2 linked regions of the Danio rerio genome follow. The protein of the gene in region 2 interacts with the protein of the main gene of each other region in a biochemical or structural test. Links are inferred from orthologs where the notes say so. Each region holds a gene or a part of one and is shown on either strand. Other genes may lie near its edges.

Evidence for each region. The genes of interacting proteins can lie anywhere in the genome.
Region 1: the proteins of rrm1 (region 2) and rrm2l form a complex in vitro, tested with the Homo sapiens proteins (3 studies listed by BioGRID and IntAct). The link is inferred for Danio rerio from reciprocal best matches to the Homo sapiens genes RRM1 and RRM2.

What each region holds. Positions count from the first base shown.
Region 1 is NC_133195.1:32,243,304-32,253,825, forward strand, and holds the end of rrm2l (ribonucleoside-diphosphate reductase subunit M2), read right to left. Parts: intron 10,330-10,522; coding exon 10,261-10,329; intron 9,258-10,260; coding exon 9,111-9,257; intron 8,563-9,110; coding exon 8,446-8,562; intron 8,149-8,445; coding exon 8,015-8,148; intron 7,984-8,014; exon of another isoform or gene 7,848-7,983; intron 7,785-7,847; coding exon 7,690-7,784; intron 7,573-7,689; coding exon 7,439-7,572; intron 7,364-7,438; coding exon 7,259-7,363; intron 6,176-7,258; coding exon 6,062-6,175; intron 5,904-6,061; coding exon 5,751-5,903; 3' UTR 5,025-5,750; downstream 1-5,024. UniProt on the Homo sapiens protein: Provides the precursors necessary for DNA synthesis. Catalyzes the biosynthesis of deoxyribonucleotides from the corresponding ribonucleotides. Inhibits Wnt signaling.
Region 2 is NC_133196.1:33,449,314-33,460,543, forward strand, and holds the start of rrm1 (ribonucleoside-diphosphate reductase large subunit), read right to left. Parts: upstream 7,142-11,230; 5' UTR 6,974-7,141; coding exon 6,955-6,973; intron 6,323-6,954; coding exon 6,234-6,322; intron 4,903-6,233; coding exon 4,725-4,902; intron 4,635-4,724; coding exon 4,534-4,634; intron 4,438-4,533; coding exon 4,378-4,437; intron 4,303-4,377; coding exon 4,263-4,302; intron 2,302-4,262; coding exon 2,139-2,301; intron 2,029-2,138; coding exon 1,887-2,028; intron 1-1,886. UniProt on the Homo sapiens protein: Provides the precursors necessary for DNA synthesis. Catalyzes the biosynthesis of deoxyribonucleotides from the corresponding ribonucleotides.

The sequences.
Region 1 (10,522 bases), on a different chromosome or scaffold from region 2:
ACTAAAATAACAGACACTCCTCTATTTTACTGTGTTTTTGGCAATGGAGGGTGTTCCAAATGGAGTGCAATTTTACATTCACTTGTCTAGCCTGAAAAATAAGATCTCAACCTCCTATTTAAGCAAGAAACAAATTTTCATTGGTGGCAGATTTTATTGGTGATTTCATATATGAAGTGTATTCTTAAATTGGCTGAACCCCTGTGGATAATTGAATGTTTTCATATTTAAAGAGATCACTCAGTTAGATCACTGACAGTAGTTTTGAAGATGATTGTAACTCTTACAAAAATTAACCATGTTTTGCTCAACAAAAAAAAAAAAGATTTCTGAGCCAGCATAATCATCTATTCATGTACATTAAATTAGATAGAACTTTCATGACTACTAAGAGAATATTTGTTTACTAAAGTAGTAACTTCTGATATCAAAAGTAGAACATTTCACTAAAGAACATACATTACATAAAAGTTGATACCAATAAAGGTTTATATTTTTAGCTCAGCAGTCAGAAATGGAATGCTCAGGATTGTGGGATATCAACAACAGTGAAGGATGCATCTATGCTGTCATCAAAATTAGATCAGAAAAAGGTACCTGCTAATAAAGGAAGCGATCCAGAATTTGGATTTGGACGTTCGTTGGTGCCTTCCTTTCTTGAAATGCTGCTTCTGAAAGGAGCCATTTTAGAGCTTTCAGTTGCTTGATAGCAACACTATAAAAAATATTCATAAATCTGTATTCCTGTTTTTATTTTTCCCCCATTTATTTAGGCTTATGAATTGCATTATGGGATCTTGCTCTTTCTTCCATCAACTTTTAACCTTGAAAAGTTCGAAAAAGTGACTTTTATTAACATTTTTAGTAGTTTAAATAGTCGGATGAAGAGCCGGTGTGCTCGAAACGTTACACACTTTGTGTTAGCCTTTATAATTGTATAAATTGGTATTTTTGGAGCTTTTGTATTGCTGCCTTGTTAAATGTAATATGTGACATTGTCTGGGTTTGTCGGTGTTGTACATTACAATACAACAACCTTGTAAAAAAACTGCCAGGTAAAAAAAAACTTGTTTCCAAATATTGTGTTTATACAATATATTATTTCAAGCTACTAAAATGTCAACAAAAGCCACTTTGTTAAACTGTAGAGTTGCATTTTCAACATCAAAAGTTGACAGAGAAGAGATCAAGGTCCCATAATATGATTCACAACCGTAAATAAACAGAAAACACTTGTGAATCCCAAAATATGAAAACTGTTTATTTACTGATAAATTTTTACAGTGCAGTTTAACTATAGTATCAGTGAATTGTAATCAACAGTCCAAAAATAGAAGGTTAATAGACTACTAGAATAAAATCATGTTTAATATTTGCAATTGAAAACTATTGCCTAAAAGCAGGGATGTCCAAACTCTGCCCTGGAGGGCCAGTGTCCTGGAGAGTTTACCTCCAACTTGCTTCAACACACTTACCAGGAAGTTTCTAGCATATCTAGTAAGAGCTTGATTAGCTGGTACAGGTGTGTGTGATTAGGGTTGGAGCTAAACTCTCCTGGACACTGGCCCTCCAGGACCGAGTTTGGACACCTCAGCTAAAATAGAAAATTCTGCCATCTTTACCCGTCCTCCACTTGTTCGAGATTTTTCTGTTGGATATAAAGAAAAATATACTGAAGTATGTTGTGGAAAAAAGCCATTTATTTAATATTTTTTGTTACTATTATGGATGTTAGTGGCTGCTGTTTACGGCATTTTTTCAGAAAATTTTGCAACAAAAGAAAGTAATTAATAAAATATTAAAATCAATTGAGTATGAGTAAATGATGAGGTGATTTATCTCTTTTAATTAGTCAATACTGTTTTAAGAACAAACTTAACAAATATCTTACATAAACATTTGAACAATGCCTTAAGGTGGTATAACCATAGTGCCAGCCAAATTACTCTGGGCTGCTTAATTATTAGAAAAACGATCCACATGGAGGTCTGGAGAAAAACACGCAGGAAACATAAGAGAATGAATTTGGGTGTTCCTACTGGGCTATTAAAGTACAGTAACAGCTGTAATTCTAGCATGGCAATATTTACTGTGCTATGATCTATTAGCGACGTGCTGCGGTGTGGGAGGCCCGGTGCTCAAACAAAGCAGGCGACCAACACAAGCATTTTGACAGGGTCCCATCTCCTTAAATGGACATGAAGGGGACACAGGATTTGCCTGTTTCAGACAGCTGCGCCCACCAGCAGACCCCCTCTTGGAGCGTGGCAACTGTTGGGCCCAAATGCTTTTTAAACATTCATTACTTTGGGAACAATAGTTTGTTGATCAACCTGTTTGTGACACGAGCCTGCACGGCCTTATTCAAGAGACTGATGGGGATCATATTCTGAGCTGATGGCGGCTGCAGAGTTTGCATGGCATTTCATCAAGCAGATTCATCATATGAAACATACAATGTAAGGTTGTATTGATTTGAGTATCAGGCTTTCTCTAGAAGAAAAAATATTATCAGACATACTGAGAAAATTTCCTTGCTCAGTTAAACATCATTTGGGAGATATATATTACATATATACTCACCAGCCACTTTATTAGGTACACCTTACTAGTACCAGGTTGGACCCCCTTTTGCCTTAATCCTTCGTGGCACAGATTCAACAAAGTTCTGGAAATATTCCTCAGAAATTTTGGTCCATATTGACTTGATAGCATCATGCAGTTGCTGTAGATTTGTCTGCTGCACATCCATGATGTGAATCTCCCGTTCCACTATCTCAAAAGTGCTCTATTGGATTGAGGATCTGATGACTGTGGAGGCCATTTGAGTGCAGGGAACTCATTGTCATGTTCGAGTAACCAGTCTGACATGATTCGCGCTTTATGACATGGTGCGTTATTCTGCTGGAAGTAGCCATCAGAAGATGGGGTAAACTGTGGTCATATAGGAATGGACATGATCAGCAGCAATACTCAGGTATGCTGTGGTACTGACGCGATGCTCTATTGGTACTAATGGGCCCAAAGTGTGCCAAGAAAATATCCCACACACATTACACCACCACCAGCAGCCTGAACAGTTGATACAAGGCAGGATGGATCCATGCTTTCATGTTGACAACAAATTTTGACCCTACCATCCGAATGTTTCAGCAAAAATCGGGACTCATCAGACCAGGCAATGTTTTCTAATCTTCTATCGTCCAATTGTGGTGAGCCTATGTAAATTGTAGCCTCAGTTTCCTGTTCTTAGCTGACAGGAGTGGCACCTGGTGTGGTCTTCTGCTGCTGTAGCCCATCTGCCTCAAGGTTCACTGTGTTGTGTGTTCAGAGATGCTCTTTTGCATATTTCTGTTGTAACGAGTGGTTATTTGAGTTACTGTTGCCTTTCTATCAGCTCAAACCAGTCTGGCCATTCTCTGACCTCTGGCATCAGCAAGGCATCTGTGCCCACATACTGTAACTGCCGCTCACTGGATTTTTTTTTTTTCTGACCATTTTCTGTAAATCCTAGAATTGTATGTGCTGGAAAATCCCCGTAGATCAGCAGTTTCTGAAATGCTCAGACCAGCCTGTCTGGCACAAATAGCCATGCCATGTTTAAAGTCACTTAAATCACCTTTCTATTTATTCTTCCCCATTCTGATGCTCGGTTTGAATTGCAGCAGATTGTCTTGACCATGTCTACATGCCTAAATGCATTGAGTTGCTGCCATGTGATTGGCTTATTAGAAATTTACGTTCATGAGCGGTTGGACAGGTGTACCTAATAAAGTGGCCATGATATTATATATATATATATATATATATATATATATATATATATACACTGTATGTGTGTGGAAGACTAAAAACATACACTGACTGCTAAAGATGTCAGTTAAAAAAGAGTTGTAGAGATCAGTCTCCCAAATTCCCATACAGTACAAAAAAAACTAAATTATAGTTTAAATATTATATTTTTAGCATATATCGTTCTCTATTCCATTAAACAATGGACATAAGGCTTATAATACCTGTTGTTGTAGCACTGTGCTGTTTAGTTATATAATGGCTGCTAACAAGATCTACTGTGTGTGGATGGGTCAACTAAAGCAGCTGTTGTCAGAATGGACCGCTGACAGGCACGCTAATGAGAAAAACCTGGAGAAATGATCCTCGCAGTAATCTACATGTCCAAGAGTCAATCGCTGCTCTTATTCTGATATACTCTCACTTTAACAGTAAGATTCAGACCTTCATGACCATCCATCACCGTTTTCACAGCAGCTCAAATCAACTGACAACTCAATGGCAGTTGTGCCCAAACTCTAAAATAGAAACGTACAGCAATGAAAGATGTAACATGTGTTCGAGTACATGCAATAAGCAGAAGTTTGTGGATTGTAGAGCCGTATTAAAAGGTCAAAAGACTTCTTTCTTAAGTTGATGTGCATGTTGTCCCATGAACAAATAGTATCAAAACGTCCCGAGAGCACTTACAAGAGAGCGACTGCTCAACAGCTCATGCCAGGAGTGCCCTAGATAATGGCTACTATAAATATATTGAGTGCTTTAGAAGTTTCCATGTGAGCATTGATGTTCATTACAGATGAGCATAAAGAAAACCATCATAGTGCATTTAACTGTTAGGCTTCAATTAAAGTGACAGCTCACAGTAAAATGAAAATTCTCCTTTTGATCAAACTTGTGTTCAAAAGGAAGCAATCGTTGAACTGAATGTTGGTGGGGGGAAAAAGATAATAATTTAAAAACCATTGACTTAGTTTTTTGTTCCTATGGTTGTCTGTAGCAGGCTTTTTCACCATTCACCACAGTATATTTTTGTGTTCAACAAGAAAGCAATTCTTAAGTTTGGAACCACTTGATCACAGGTGTAAACCTTAAGTAAAGGTTCATTTTCTGGTGAACAGTTCTTTTACTAAGCTTGAATCATTTAATGGCAGTTCCTAATATACACATCACTATTTATTGGCTTCTTATAGCAAAGCTAGTTATGAAATGTAAAATTCTGAAAGCCAGGGTAACGATTTTTCTCTTTATTGATTTAAAAAAAAAAAAAAAAAAAAAATTTGATGGACAGTGTGGCAATGTCTCGAACCCTGTTCTGGTTTGGGAAGATGCTGTAAAGTTACCTACACCAAAGTATAACCATCAAATTAGCAGTGGTTTACTTTGTGTTAAATGTGACCAAAAGTCAACCATGTTATGCAGGAAAGTTTATTAAATAACTAACTGCATACTCTTACCCAATATTGGAGCATCTATTTTATCCATTCATGTTTCTATATTTGTACCTTAATTTATGAGTCGATCCCATACTTTATATGGAAGTGAGAAATATTATCTATACTGCCAATATAAGTAAATGGCCAGAGTAACTTAAATGAATTACTAACAGAAAATCACTAGGATTAGTCTTAGCCTTATTAGTCTGCTCTGGGGCAAGCTAGCTACTAAATGCAGTATAAATCTCCATAACTCATTTTACCTCATTTACACGAAATAGAGTCTGGGCTAAATTGAGCCACCATATCTTGAAAAACCTAACTTGATACTTCGAGCAATACCTCATCCAAAAAGTTGAAATTCAAATTTTTTTTTTTATTATGTAAAACAAAAATAAAAAGCTTATTTAATACTAATCTCGCTAAAACAAAGTTAAACAAAAACATGTAAACTATACAGCAAAAGTCCCAGAAGTCCATAGTTTTGTGTTAAGTGTCCGTTGAAGCACTCAGATTGAGTCTTTAAAAATCAGCATCCAGAGTGAAAGTGTTATCTGTAGTTCCCGACATGACTCCCATGCGCTGGTACTCGCCCACTCGCTTCTCGAAGAAGTTGGTCTTGCCCTCCAACGAAATGTTCTCCATGAAGTCAAAAGGATTCTCCACTCTATAGACCTAGAAAGGCAATTTGGAAGGTTAGTGACGCTTAAAGTGCCACCTGTTGAACTGAAAGTACAAAACGGGTTTGACATGTGACAGACCTCAGATCATTAGACATTACAAGGACTACACTGCCACCATGAGCAGACTCAAGACTAATGAAATAAACCTACCTTGTCAAATCCCAGCTCCAGCAACAGTCGGTCAGCCACAAACTCAATGTACTGCTTCATCAGGTCACAGTTCATGCCAATGAGCTTCACGGGAAGAGCATCAGTCAGGAACTCCTAGGAAGATAAACAAGTCAGATTTGTGGTTTACAAAAATTATTAAAACTATATGCCCTGTATTGTTTTTACTTTAGGATGCAATTACAAGTAGAAGACACTAAAATGCAAGTACATACCCTGTCAGGTCTTGTCTACCCATTCAATTGAAAATACTTTGACTTGATTATTAAAAAAAAAAAAAGACAATTTATTCATTTTTATTTGGTTTAGTCCCTTATTTATAAGGGGTCAAAAAAAAAAAAAAAAAAAAAAAAAAAGACTGATACATAGGCCCTCCTTTCCAATAAATAAGTGGTCAAAGCACACATAAAACTGTATAAAGTGGGAATATCTATCATATGATCGACCACACTACATCTCAATACTATACAGCACTCTGGAATAGTTGATTCTGAAAAGCCAAAGACATTGCAACGCATGTTAGTTCTAATTAATAGGTTCATGCGTGTTCGGTCAGAGTTGGAGCTGAACTTTGTAGGAAGCTAGACCTCCAGGTACAGCGTTGAGCACCAGTGATCTTGACCATTAGTCAATTTTCAGTTCTTTCTTGCCCCTTTTTTAGACTGTTTGCCACCATCTTGTGGCTGAGTAAGTTACTGTAGGCTGCAATTGTAGTTAAGTTGTCAAGCAAGAAAGTACATTATGGCAGGTGTTTAGCGGAATAAAAGTTCTGTCTTCTAAACCACAAGCTTTATCATTCAAGCGAAATCTGGCTTTACTTTACTCTAGCACTCAAATGCAAGAGAAGAAAAAAAAAAAGTAAGTTTATTAATCCATTGTTAACATGCAGCTCTTCAACTAAAGAAAATTCAAATCTGGAACTGCAGGTTGTGTTCAGTCATGTTTGTTTGTTACATTCAATAAAGTTAAATTACTACATCTAATAGTTCAGTTCTGTGACAAGCAGCCAGATTACATACATCAGGGCAGTTTATTCTGTAAAAACAACTGCCCTGTAGTCATGCTGATGAAACCTATCTAGCTTTATTCAGCAAGAACTTTAATGAACATTGCCCTTTGTGTAAACCTGAAAATGAACACTGGCCTGACTGAAAGCACTTGTTATGAAGGCTCACAAACCTGCTCAATTTCAACTGCATTCATGATGATTTTCTTCACGGTTTCTTCTGATGGTTTGTTGATCAAGTGTTTAAACATGAGGCAGGCGAAGTCGCAATGAAGACCCTGCAAGAATAAGAAACATTAGTACCACATTCTACAATAGGTGCATACTAGGGTTAAGGTAGACAAAAGGGTTACCTCATCTCTGCTGATCAGCTCATTGGAGAAGGTGAGTCCAGGCATGAGTCCCCTCTTCTTTAGCCAGAAAATAGAAGCAAAAGACCCAGAGAAGAAGATTCCCTCCACTGCAGCAAAGGCCACCACTCTCTCACCTGTAACCAGTGCAAGACTTAAATTAGCGGTCACTTAATAATAAACTTCCTTTAATACTTTATTATAATTATTTTTCTTTTTTTTCCCCTTTTTAATAAAGTATGTTTATAACATACCATATCGTGCATTTTTATCACCAATCCAGTTGAGTGCCCAGTCAGCCTTCTTCTTTACACATGGCATTGTCTCAATGGCATTGAACAAAAATTCCCTACAGAAAACAATTTCATTAGTCAGATAAATGACTAGGTACCATTTACAAGAGCATTTTTAGGGAGCTCAGTCAAGGCGATAATTTCGTGCTGACACCCTACAACCAGCTGACCACATGTCCACTGATTTTGAGCAGTCAACACTCAGCTCCCATTATCAGCTGAGGTACGTACCCCTGCGCCACTCATCATTGCTCCCAATAACCTCAAAACGGGTCCAAACACTTACCTCTCTTTAGAATCTTTAATGTAGGTGTCAATCAACAGGCTGTACATTTCTGAGTGGATGTTTTCCATTGCTATCTGGAAGCCATAGAAGCAGCGGGCTTCAGTCACCTGGACCTCCTGAGTGAAACGCTCCACCTAGAGTCAGAAGACAAGTGGTAAGGACCAATTAACAAAATAAATAAATTAAAAAAAAGGGGGGGAGGGAAAAAATTAAATCCTGTAAAATCATAGGTATAAGTCAATTTCTGAAGGGGGCCACAGCGCTGCAGTTGTTTCAACCCTAACCAAACATCTGATGCAGCCAATTAAGGGTTCAAGATTCTTTTGAACAGATTATTTAGATCAGCTGTGTTTGATGAGGGCTAAAGCAAAACTGTGGCCCTTCAGAAATTGACTGACAGCCAGGCTGTAAATGTTTGCCTATGAGCTTACCAAGTTCTCATTGACAATGCCATCACTTGCAGCAAAGAAAGCCAGAACATGGGAGATGAAATATCTCTCCTCGTCTTTCAGGGAATCCCAGTGTTGCAGATCTTTGGACAGATCAACCTTAGAAAAAATAAAAACCCAAGTGTTCAAAACATTGCAACTATAAAAAGCATGCTAGCAAATAAAGGCTGAATGTTACATTAAACTATTAGCCAAGGGCAATATGCAAATTTTAAATGACATTTAAATTATATTCAGGGCCATTAGAACACACTGAAAAGGACAAGTTACTTAATAGCTTGAGAACAAGGAGGATTAATTATATCAAGTACATTTAAAGAGCACTAGTTGTGAAAAAAAATAACTTGTAAATTTGACTAATAAATGCATGTTAAATTCGTAAACTTGTCTCTTTGGTCATGTTTTGATAAATGGCTAGCACTTTTGCAGGAATATTAAATTGCTGATTTGGTACATGTTTATTAAAAACTTTGCTAAATTTATTAATTAGATACTCTAATTTAAATCAATTCTAATAAATTTCTCATTCATATTTATGCTAATTTTCAGGATCTTTGACAAAACCAGATTGACCGGTGCACCTAGTAAGGACAGCATATTAAATGGAGGCATTTCTAGGTGTTAAGGTGTTATGTTTTAAAGTTCACCTCCTCAGCTGTCCAGAAAGAGGCCTCTGCCTTCTTGTACATCTGCCAGATGTCATGATACTGAATTGGGAAAATGACAAAGCGATGGGGGTTCTCCTTCAGAAGAGGCTCCTCCTCCACTGCTCCTTTCTTTGCTTTCGACTGCCCCTGCAATTAAAACATGTTTGATGTAACAAACTAACATGAGTTAGGGCTTATGGTGCATGTAACTAGGATAAAAACAATCTTTAGCAATAAGCTCATTTCTGTTTGGGCTATTAACCATTTTATTCAAGACTTGCAATTCTTGACCATTTTGTAAAAAATAATAATAGCAAGTTATTCAATGGTATATAAAAAATATACTAAAAACTAAGCTACTAACTAAGCTAGCATTTGACAATGTTCGTTAAAGTCTGGTTAGCTTTGGTTCTCATTTCCCAAAAAAAAAAAAAAAAAAAAAAAAAAGTCTTAGATAATGGAAAGTTGTTGCTTGTATGAACGAGAAGACTCAGCTGTATTAAAGTATCAAACATTTTATATACACCATTTGGGTTTCCACTTCTTGTAACTTGGAATATTAGCACGATTTCCTTCGTTTACCAGAAAACAAATAAATAATAATAGTAATAAGACCATCTTGTTTGCTTTTGGTGCATTGATCATTCCCAGTAATACTACTTCCGGTCTATATTTTTTCGGCAAAACAAGAGCTTTTCTGATTGACCAGACCAAGTTGTGCAAATATAAGAAAACCATCTAAATATTGATCGAATTGTACAGAAAAGGAGTATTCGCACTTTAAAGTGCATGTTTAGCATACACTCTGCGTCGTTTATGCAACATTACATCAGCTCAAGCTAATCGCCCGCCAAACTCATGCATTGTTTTATTAACTAGCATAAAACACAAAAATCACCCTAGTTTTAAGTAATCGTTTTTAATTCCGTTCAGCTGGACTAGTTTAATGAGCCATTGTTCTTCCAAAAAGACCCGGATAAGTTTGATGTTACCTGCCCAACTTAGCGCGCTCAGAATCCGCCAAATTTTATCTACAACTTAAAGACATCGCTCCAGAAGTCGATAAACATTTAATACCACATCAGATAAACATGCATAATATTAGCTCATTCTGAAGACACGTGCAGAGACGAAGTAAAAGTGGACTGACCTCTGATTCATCAAAGATTTTGCGCGCCGTTTTGGACGCCAGGATTCTGGTGGAGCTCAAACTGGGTGGCTGAGGACAAAACAAATCACATTTTACAACACAACACAACTACCTAGTAGCTGTATTTAAAGTAATATTCGTATTTTATGTTATATGCGCGTATAGAGCTACTCTTGAGAGCCTAAAAATGTAACTTACGGGTCGCATGACTACGCAGTAGTTACAATAATTGCGGTTCGTTAAAAGTAAAGTCAAAGAAACA
Region 2 (11,230 bases):
CCATGTAATATACCATTGTACCAGTAACTGTACCATAGAGTTGTGAGAAAGATGCATCACATTTATGGAGTCTCATTTTGGTTAATTTTCCAAACCGATAAACCGCCGCATGTTAACCAAATATTAACCGGTCCAGTTTATATGCAGGAATCCTAAAAGGTAATTTCAATACCTTTTCCTTTTAAAGACCTTCTCAGAATATTTTAAGACCTCATCGCCACTAAGTTCTAATCAGTATCAAACCTTTAACTTAATAAACAGTTGCTAATAAACAGTTGTAGTTAAATAAATCAATGGAGCACAACATGCAACAGAACTCAGACAAGCTCAGAAGAAACAAAGCTTGAAATAATAAATGTGGTTGTTTTCAGCGACAGGCTTCAGTCACCGTTTAAACTTGTCTTCCTCTAACAAGGAGTATGCAAGCTTGCATTTATCACCTTCCCGCGTTACGGGACATCACCCGGACGGAGGAGCTTGGCCGGAGAGGCCCCGGCCCGAAGCAATCGTGTGGATCGAGCACACCGTTGTTAATATTAGGAGGAAAATAAATATATTTATGCTTTTTTGAAGTCAAATACTTTGGACATTGCTTGAACAAAATTTAAGACCTCGTAAAAACAAGATTACGACTTTCTAAATTTCTTTTAAGGGCCTTAATTTTCTCAATTGATTTATCAACTTTTAACACTTTAAGACCCCGCCGACACTGCTGCGACTGCGCTTAGATTAGGAACGAGATAAAAAGGTGCATATGTTGACTTTTAAAGGAGGCTACATGTTACTTTAGCATGTACTAATTTCGTTTACATATAGTATTACACTGATTTGCAAACATGTTTTGTAGGTTATATAGCTATAAAATAAAAGTCTCGGTTTGGTGAGGTGTTATGGAAAGATCAAGAATGGATTTTTTATAAAAACTATTAATAACTGTAATTTTCCATATTGAAAAAAGGTTGGTTTGTTGGTTGTACACTAAATCAAAGCAATCTGTTGTTTAACTGAAACCATCAATACCATTTAACAGTTCAACAGATACCATGAATCAGATAAAAAAAAAAAAAACACAATTATTTCAGTTAACGGTAAATCAAATATTAGCAGCATCCCCAATCACACTTTTAATGTAGACGTGTAAACTGTAATAAAGGAGTAATGAAATATAAAAACTGTAATAGTTGTTTAAAAGCACCTGAATTTGTACTCAACATATTCAGCCTAACGCTTTTCACACTTTACATTTCAACATTGCAATGATGAGGTACTTATGCAGGTAACCGAGTATTACCAATGATTACGAAGACCTCAATCAGGGGTGTTAAACTCAGTCCTGGGGGGCCAGTGTCCTGCATAGTTTACCTTCAACACCTCCCTGAAAGTTTCCAGTATATATAGAGCTTGATTAGCTGGTTCAGGTGTGTTTAATTGCAGTAGGAACTAAAATATGCAGGACACCTGCCCTCCAGGACTGAGTTTGGACAACCCTGACCTAAATGATATAGATGACACCTAAATTAAAGAAATAAAAAACAGGATGTTTAAATACAATTTTACAGCTTCTGTTTTACCAAACATAAATCAATAAAATTATTTAGCATAGGATGAAGGCTGGCAAAAAGATTAAGTTTTCATATTATTATGAATACTGTACCCCATATCTGCAAAATGTTCATTTGGTTGAGGTGTTTGTGATGTTTTGATAATAATAAAAGTAGTTTAAATTAACAAAGGCTTGTACGCTGTCTTTAAATGAGATTTGACATGCATAGTAATAATTATTAAATATCAACAGAGATTAATTAATCGTATGAATTTAATCATGATCATTTGCTCATATCAAAAAGCCTTACAGTGAAGCAAATTTAAAATCAGAGAACACTCACTCCTGCAATGTAGCTGCCAGTGGCTCTAATGCAGCTCACTGCCACCCCGATGCCACCGGCAGACTTGGAGATGAGCGCACACTGCTTCAGGGTGTCATAGATGCCCTCAATGCTGTCATCTTTCATAGCAAGCAGGAAGCAACTACACATTTAAAAAAAAGAAGCACTGGTTTGTATTACATCAATTAAACATTAATTTAGAAATTCTGCCCTCTTGTGTCTAATTGCAGCGTTACTGTTCTTAGTGTTTACCTGGAGAGCTGAGGCCGGTTGGTGCCCGCATTAAACAGAGTAGGAGAAGCATGAGTGAACCACTTCTCAGACAGCAGGTTGTAGGTTTCGATAGCAGCCGCAATGTCTTCCTTATGAATGCCTACGGACACCCTCATCAGCATGTGCTGCGGCCGCTCGGCAACTGAAAACAAAAAGCACTCAAGGTATAAGAATCTTTGCTTCAGTTGTTCAGGTTAGTCTTTTTTGTTCATCTCATTTGCATTTCTCTCACTGGAAATGAAAGCAAACTTTGGTCTGTTCTTTAGATCGTCGTCACTCTTTTCCTGCCCTCCTTGTTTACTCGTTTCACAATTTGACTGTTTTGCATAGATGTAATATAAGTGTTATGCGTCTCCAGAATGTGGCTGAAGTTTCTGCTTAAAATACCTCATGGACATTATTATACCCTGATGTAAATGTGCCTTTTTTGAGTGATGCTTGATGCTGCTGTCGCTTTAAATTGCAAATAAGCTCCGTGCCTTGGGTACAATATTGTGTCATCATGATATTTAGTTACAGAACAGTTACTGGTACAGACGTACCAATTGCAATTTTCTTGGCTGATTTAGATTTACAATTTTTAATTAGTTTGCAACAATTTGCTCGTGCAGTAGTTCGCTTTCATTCACAACCTGCATTTGCAGAACAAGCCGAAAGCCTTAACTCATCTGTAATGGACTGTGCAATAACATGACGTGATTTTGTTGTAGTCAAGTGTCCATGCATCCCATTAATGCCACCCTATCTGCATTGATTTACACACTGAAAGAGTGCGCTAACAACTTGGTGCGGCAGATATTTGAACAACATCCTGAATCCAGCCAAACACGACATTCTAGAAATCATATATGTGCCCTACAAATACAATCTGGATATACCTAGGCATAGTCGAATAATGATAGTTCAGTATAGAAATGAGCATACGGTGAGCCTCACTATGGTTTCCTCGTTCTAATGTAAATACAGCAAATGTAAAACCCCGATAATCGCAAGTCAATCAGAACAATGGACTCTTGTATGACTCACTGGCCACTCCCTATCATTTGCATGTACTTTAGGTCAGGTTCTACATTAGCCGGAACGGCATTAGCATTCATGCAAAAACACAGACTTATATCACTTAAAGTAATTGATATACATGCCTCAGGCTGTTTAAGAAGCCACAACATTTCCTAGTGAGAATTACCATTTTCCTCCCAGTTAATTTTATGTTTATATTATCTTACCATTTATGCGGGACTTTTTTTTTTTTTTGAAAATGGGAGATGCTGTATTTATTTTGCATTACCAAGCAACAACTCTAAAAAGCCATCTGTTTACATGCACAAAATGCAGATTACACATTTATTCAACCCCACTTCAAAGTGTCATAAGGCATGTTTTGGTAATAAGGCATCTTTTGGTAATTTAGGTAATTACCATTTTATTGTAAAATGTGCTGTGTTTATTTCAACAAACACATGTGGACTTCTGAATTGTGTTGTTTGGCAGCATATGAACGCATACCCGTCAATGCTTATTTCTTTGCTTTTAACTCACACAGGCCGGCATATCTAATTTAAACTGAGAACTGATTCAGAATCATTAGGGAAATTTTTTTTAAAAATCACGATGTGTCAATTTTTTGTTTCTCATCCCTATTCTTCTGGTGACATGTAGACATCTTGTTTAAAGCTGCACATCAGGATTTGGAAATAGTTATGAGATGTAGCTAAAGCCTGATAAATAATTCTGTGATTAGTGCACATGGATGAGCCAGCACATCATTTGCAGTTGCCAACCCTGACACACACACACCTCTCAATTTTTTTAACTATGTCACCATGCATATTGAAAGCTTTGTGATTGGTCAACTTGATAGGTGTTTTTTTTGTGTTTTTTTTTTTATTTCTGAGGTTTTATTGCCAGAGCAACACAGCGCAGAAAAATAGACGCATGCGCCGTGAGTTTTGGTGATCATTCAATGCAGAAGTATAAATCAACCTTAAGGATACACTGGACCTACTGCAAATATTCAGTGTAGAAGTATAAAGTTGCTTTGATTAAGAGAATTGATTCGCAGAACTGCATGTCTAAATTTCCTAAGACCCATTAATGACTTACCCTTTCCATTGATCTTCAGCAGATATGAGCGCTCCAATGTCTAAAAGAAAGGTTAAAACTGAGATTAGCATCGCTTATGAATTCAAACTAGCAATTTCTCTTATTTTAGAATTACCTTGAAGCCAAAGAAGTTGTAAGAGAAATCCCTGTCATAAATGATGGCTGAGTTCAGGCGCTAGAATAAAGAAAAATAATGTTAATTCTACATTAGATTTTAAAAAATAATAAATAAACAAATCACTTTGTGGCTGGTGTAAATGTGCATATTTACATCTTTGTTGGCCAAAACAATATCAAGCGTCTCCTTGGAGATCATAGGCGAGTGGCGGCTGTTCAGGGGATTGACGTAGTTGTAGAGATCCTCCATAACCTCTGTTGATGGAAGAAGGCAAGTTTTTATAAACACTGTAATTCAACTGAAGTTAAATCATTGAAGTTAAATCAATGGTTGTCGCAACTCACCACTGAAAACCTTTTTAGTCTCTTTATGCAGGTTAGACACGGCGATGCGGGCTGCTAGGATGGCATAGTCAGGGTGTTTGGTGGTGAGGGTGGCAGCGATCTCAGCAGCCAGTGTGTCCAGCTCTACTGTAGTAACGCCGCTGTAAAGGCCCTGAATCACCTTCATGGTGATCTGAGTCTGCAGAGCAAAATCATGCGTGTTGCAACCATTTAGGTTTAGATCTTCTCATTTGGTTTCTTAGAAAATTTTACCTCCAGTATAATACAGGACTAAAAGAAGACTGGATGTTGTGCGAGTTTTTAATATTATGTTTTGGATACATGAGAACTTTGTAAGGCTAATGATCTTCTTGGCACAAATATTACTAGGGTGTCCACTCTTAAACATTCTGTAAAGTGCTTTGAAATGTGCGTTGTTGTTGATGTAATTTAAACTGAAACATGAAGACAGGGCAGGACATAAAACGGCTCCTCACCCCCCCAAAAACAGCAATCGAGTTAAGTTTATCATTGCCCTGCCAGTGAGAGTGGTTGAGCTCAAGCACAGATGGCAATTATGTCTTAAAGGTGACAGGACATGTCAGATACTAGAGAGCATTTGATTGGGCAGAAGATTTAATGAGAAACTGAAGCACAAGGTGACATGAAAAAAATAAATAAATCACTGATCCATTTTGGGGAAAGTGCAATTTATTTTTGGCCTTGGGGCCTTTGGTCAAAGTGGGCTCACTAGGGCTTGAGGAGTGGTCATTAACAAAAACAGCATTTACCTAACTCAGGAGAGTTACGCATGCTGCCCATTAATCATGCCTGAAATAACTCCTGATCATGTGATAAGGATTCTGATCAATATCTGGGTCTGTTTTTACGTGATGCTAAAAGCTAATTATATATATTTTTTTTTTTTTGAGGGACACTACACCTGCAAAAATTACAACAACAAATTGATGTCAATTTATGTATTAAACTATTGGTCATATGTAGAATCTGGAGTTTAAAAGGTAAATACAAACTGCTCACTTTAGTTTAATTGTTGTGATTAACCAATTTTCATTCAATTTCCCTTTGTCTAGTAAAGTTGTGTTGAGCGGTTCTGTGGTGGTGTGTTAAAAGCAGGTTTTAATGCTGCTAATCTATTTTTGCCTTAACAATTTTAATAGCATTTGCTTGCAGACTTTCATATGCAAACTGACATTGCATGTCTCGGAAATGCAATAAATGTCAAGACACAATGCACTCAATGGAGCTAGTGACGTCACTGTGAGGGGTGGGGTTAGGGGAGGAGTTCTCCACTCATTGAGGTCTGAAGCTGTTGATTTGACCCGGTCTGTTGTCAATACTGGCCCAACAGAGGAAAAGAAGCGAGAGTACTCACATGAGCTTTCAAACTAGGGTCAGTTTTTAGAAAAACTGGATTTTCTTAAATCATTAAATAAAAAAAGTAAATAAATAATTGCACTAGACGTAGGTTGAAATTTAAGATGTCTTGATGGACATTTCACAACTTACTGGATCAACAAAGTCAGAGTTGAGTCCATAGCAAAGTTTCTGGATGCGTGATGTGATTTTGTCAAACATTACACGCTCCTGGCGCCCATCTGTGAAAAAAAATATAGTCATAAAACAAATTATTTAAAGATAACCATATAAATGTAATAACAGTACAAATCTATAACCAATGATACATGAACAGGATATGAAACGCAAATAATATGAAAGGTCCATAAAATGTGCTGTTCGCGAGTATAGCATTGCACATTTTAGCTAGCATAGTCTATTAAATCACAATATACTTAATATTCGATATTCAAGCCAAATACTGTCAAATAAAATTTGACCTACTTTAACGAAGCGATTCGCGCCAACTTTGAGTTAACAAAGGGAACAGCTAACGTTACGTGAACATCGGCTGCTGCCAAGATGGACGCAATTATGTTATTCTCAAATATTAAATTATGCAGTTACAAAAATGAACCCAATAACAGTCAATCAATAAATATGTGTGGTGTTCATCAATATTTTAAACAGACTAAACTGACTGACGTTCATCTCTTAACGGCAAAACATTTTGTAAATTATAACGTTAGCTCAACTAACGCTCACGATGTACAGACATAATACAGGTTAATAATGGTTACGATAAGAACATTTTATAAACCGCAATTACATTACATTTGTATATATTTCTCTAGTTCAGTAACGTTATTTTAAGGAAGAGTAAAAGTGTTACCTCTCTTGATCACGTGCATGATTGAGGTATCTGGTAAAGTTAGAAAGGCCAGCGAGAAGAAAAACTGTACACTTTTTAATAAAAATGATCAGGTTTATTTAGCGGACAAAGGGCTGCACTGCTGGCCGGCTTCTCAGCTGCTCCGTCAGACTGTTGTTATGAAATTCTTAGCGCGCTAAAAGCCGCCAGAATGGACTTCGTCATTTCCGTCAAACAAATCTCAGCTAATGGGCTCTCGCTCCTTCTTCTTCGTCCTCGTCGCTGTCAGTTTTACTAGACGGAAGAGGAAAGTAGTCGTTACATTTTTTTTTTGAGTATCAAAAAGAAATGACATATAATCAAACAGCTGAAAAGCTACTTACATGGTTGTAAAAGTACATGAATATGACAATGTACAGATACTCAAAATGGTCTAACACTGGTTAAATTAAGACATTTCCAAGAAGTGAAATATTTCTGCAAAGAAAAAAAATTATAGATAGCGACACATAGTGGCCAACCATTACAAAAGGCATCCGGGTTAAGCATGGCCCTCTGCTGGTATTTTTTTGTAACTTCATGCATGTAAATAACTACATAAAACCAAATCTGAGGTAAGTTTCAGAGATAATGAATTATTTTTTAAAGTTGCAATCAAAAGTTTAAGAAGTTGTGGAAAAGTACATAATTTTCTTTATATCTGGCATCTGCAATGTGTTTTTTTACTAGATGTTTTTGCAATTCTGTTCCACAGTCATTCATTCATTTTCCTTCAGCTTAGTCCCTTATTTATCAGAGGTCACCACAGCAGAATGAACTGCCAACTATTCTGGCATGTGTTCTACACAGCAGCCAGATGCAGGCCAGTACCGAGAAACATTCATACACTCTCTCATTCACACAAACACGCACACACACGCACACACACACACACACACACACACACACACACACACACACACACACACACACACACACACACACACACACACACACACACACACACACACACACACACACACACACACACACGCACACACACACACACACACACACACACACACACACACACACAATACAGCCAATTTAGCTTACCCAATTCATGTATAGCGCATGTGTTTGGACTGTGGGGCAAACCGGAGCACCTGGAGGAAACCTACACAAACACAGGGAGAACATGCAAACTCCACACAGAAATGCCAACTGACCCAGCCAGGACTCGAACCAGCGATCTTCTTGCTGTGAGACGACAGTGCTTACCACTGACCCACCGTGCCACCTTCTATTCCACAGTTTCCAACTTATGGGTAATAAAAACTACAAGCAAGTAAAGTGTGTTTAAGGGGCGGCATGGTGGCCCAGTGGGTAGCACTATCTCCTTACTGGTCGCTGGCTTGAGTCCCAGTTGGTCCAGGTGACATTTCTGCATGTTTTCCCTGTGTTTACGAGTTTCTACCACAAGACATGCATACTGGTGAACTGGACAAACTAAATTGGCTATATTGTATGAGTGTGTGTGAATGATAGATTGTATGTGATTGTATGTGTGGGGTTTATGAGTGCATAAAACATATGCCAGAGTAATTGATGATTCATTCTGCTGTGGTGACCCTTAATAAATTAGGGCCAAAGCTGGAGGACAGTGTGTGAGTGTGTTTTGTGTTTATCTACAATTTTGTAACATCTAATATTGGGGCGTCACGGTGGTGCAGTGGGTAGCACGATCACCTCACAGCAAGAAGGTCACTGGTCCGAGCCCCGGCTGGGTCAGTTGGCATTTCGTGTTCGGCTGGGTTTCCTCCGGGTGCTCCGGTTTCCCCCACAGTACAAAGACGTACGCTATATTGGCTAAATTGTGAGTAAATGACTGTGTGTGCGTGTTTCCCAGTGATGGGTTGCACCTGGAAGGGCACCCCCTGCATAAAACATATGTCGCATTAGTTGGCGGTTCATGGCGATCTCAGAATAATAAAGAGACTAAGCTTCGTCAAATGTTTTATAACAAATATTAACAAAAATGAGCAAACTATTGCAAACACAGCAGTCTTATCATGTTTGTTAAACATTTGTGTGCCACAGTTATTTGTATGGCTAAAAATGTCCTTTCCTTTGGCTTATTCCCTGCTTTATCAGGGGATGCCACAGCAGAATGAGCTGCCAATTGGCATATATTTTACTGATGGATTCCCTTCATACCACAACCAAGCACTGAGAGTAAAGATGCAACGATTAACAGATTTCACTATTAACCGCGATTTAATTCGTCACGATTAATTATTCGTAAAAGATTATCAACACTGTGTTTCTGCATGGAACAAAACTAGGGCAACTAAACAAAGTTAAGCCAATTGTGGGCTAGTTTAAAGTTCCAAGCGTGTACAACAAGGCTAATATGCACGCACACTGGATTAACTATGGCTGAGGCTATAACTAAGGGCTGTTCATATATTGCTTCTTTTGTGCGCGCAAGTTTATTAATTCCAATACAGGCGTGCGACTTGCACGCTCATATTAGGAGCAACACTCATGCAGCACAACACGCCGCGAGTGTACTGCAAGTCACGAAACAGATCAGCGTCATACTTTTTATGGAATATACACATTTCTACAGTAAAGAGATAAAGAAAAATACTAAACAAAAAAATACTAAACAATTGAGCAATATAGTTGATCAAAAGTGCCTTTTAGACAGAGGTTCAGCAGCCTTTGACCAAATTTGTTCTCTTTAAAAGGAAGATACTTAGCGAGTATGAAGCTTAAATTTACATTAGACAAACACAATTTTTATTATTTATTTAAATTTTAATTAAATTAATTTGTCAGTGTAAAATTGTTACGTATGTTTGTATGTAAAACGTATGTAAAAACAAAAATGTTTTTTCAGTTCCAAAGGTAAACGGGCTATTATTTGTTTTCTGTGCTGTGTTGATTGGTTACTGAGCAACAATAGACAACACTTTAAAAAATAAGAAGTTTTCATGTGATTTACTAAACTAGTCATGTTTTGAAATTAATGAATGCATAATAATTGCTATAACCGTGAAACTGTGATTATTCCACAGACTATAATCTTACAATTAAAATCTATAATCGTTGCATCCTTAACTGGGAGTACACTAACTTAGTAAAAAGTGAAAGGGAAAAAAGTGAAAGTCAAAGTTGTGGTCAAGTATGGCCACCCATACTCGGAAATTGTGCTCTGCATTTAACCTATTCAAGAGCACACACACAGAAGTGAACACCCACCCACACAAGCAGCAGGAAAACACCTTGGTCAAGGGACTCAACTCAGCACTGGGATAATGAGCATTGCAGTATTGAGGGGGGAGAGAGCGCTGGCTATTCGCTCCCACCACAGACAATCCCTCCAGGAGACTCCCAAGACTTGAACCTTTGACCTTCCGATCACAATTCTAACTCTCTAACCATCAGGCAATTAGTTTAACCATTCATTTATCCAAATCACTTTACCATAATATAAGCACTTGTTGTGGTTTTTGGTTTTCCTCTTAGTGAATCAAACTCAGTCTAGAGGTTATGAATATCAGAAGATGATACTTTACTGTCGACAACAAAGATGATTTTTTAGGAGACCCCCAGTAGCATCTCTGCCTGAAAATTCTGCCTCACTGATGTTCTGGCCTGCTTATATACTCTTTTGCAGCTGTTTTTCACATTGTTCTTGATTTGTCACACAAGATCCCACCTAGTTTTAACCCCTGACCCAAACCTGATAACCATATTTCTTATCCATCTATACTTAACTGTTTCCACATGTGTTGCTCTATTCTCATCCATTTCTTGTGACACCTTAGTTGTTTACTCAGGCTATCTTCCGCTCTCTTCTCATCCAGTTCTTGTGATCCTTAGTTCTTTACTCAGACCATCTCCCCTTTCTAACTCTACATAGTACCTTAATTCTTCTAATGGTATGTAAGTCTACAAGCAGATTATACACATACAATGTGAATCTATAGATTAACTTCACACTTTAAAGAGTATAAAATCCACTTCACACTCAGAGGAAACCCACACAGACACAGGGAGAACATGCAAACGCCTCACAGGAATGCCTCCTAGTCCAACCCAACTCGAATCAGCGACCTTCTTGCTGTGAGATGACTGTGCTAACCACTGAGTCACCGTGCCACCCATTGGCTAAGAATTCATAAGAAACAAAATGTTTTTAAGTATATTCTTACTCAGATTTTTAATTTAGGGAGAGCGCTGAACCTGCCTCAGGTGATAACAGGCCTTAGCTCCGGAAGGCCAGAGGAAGTGCAAGGCAGGTGACAAA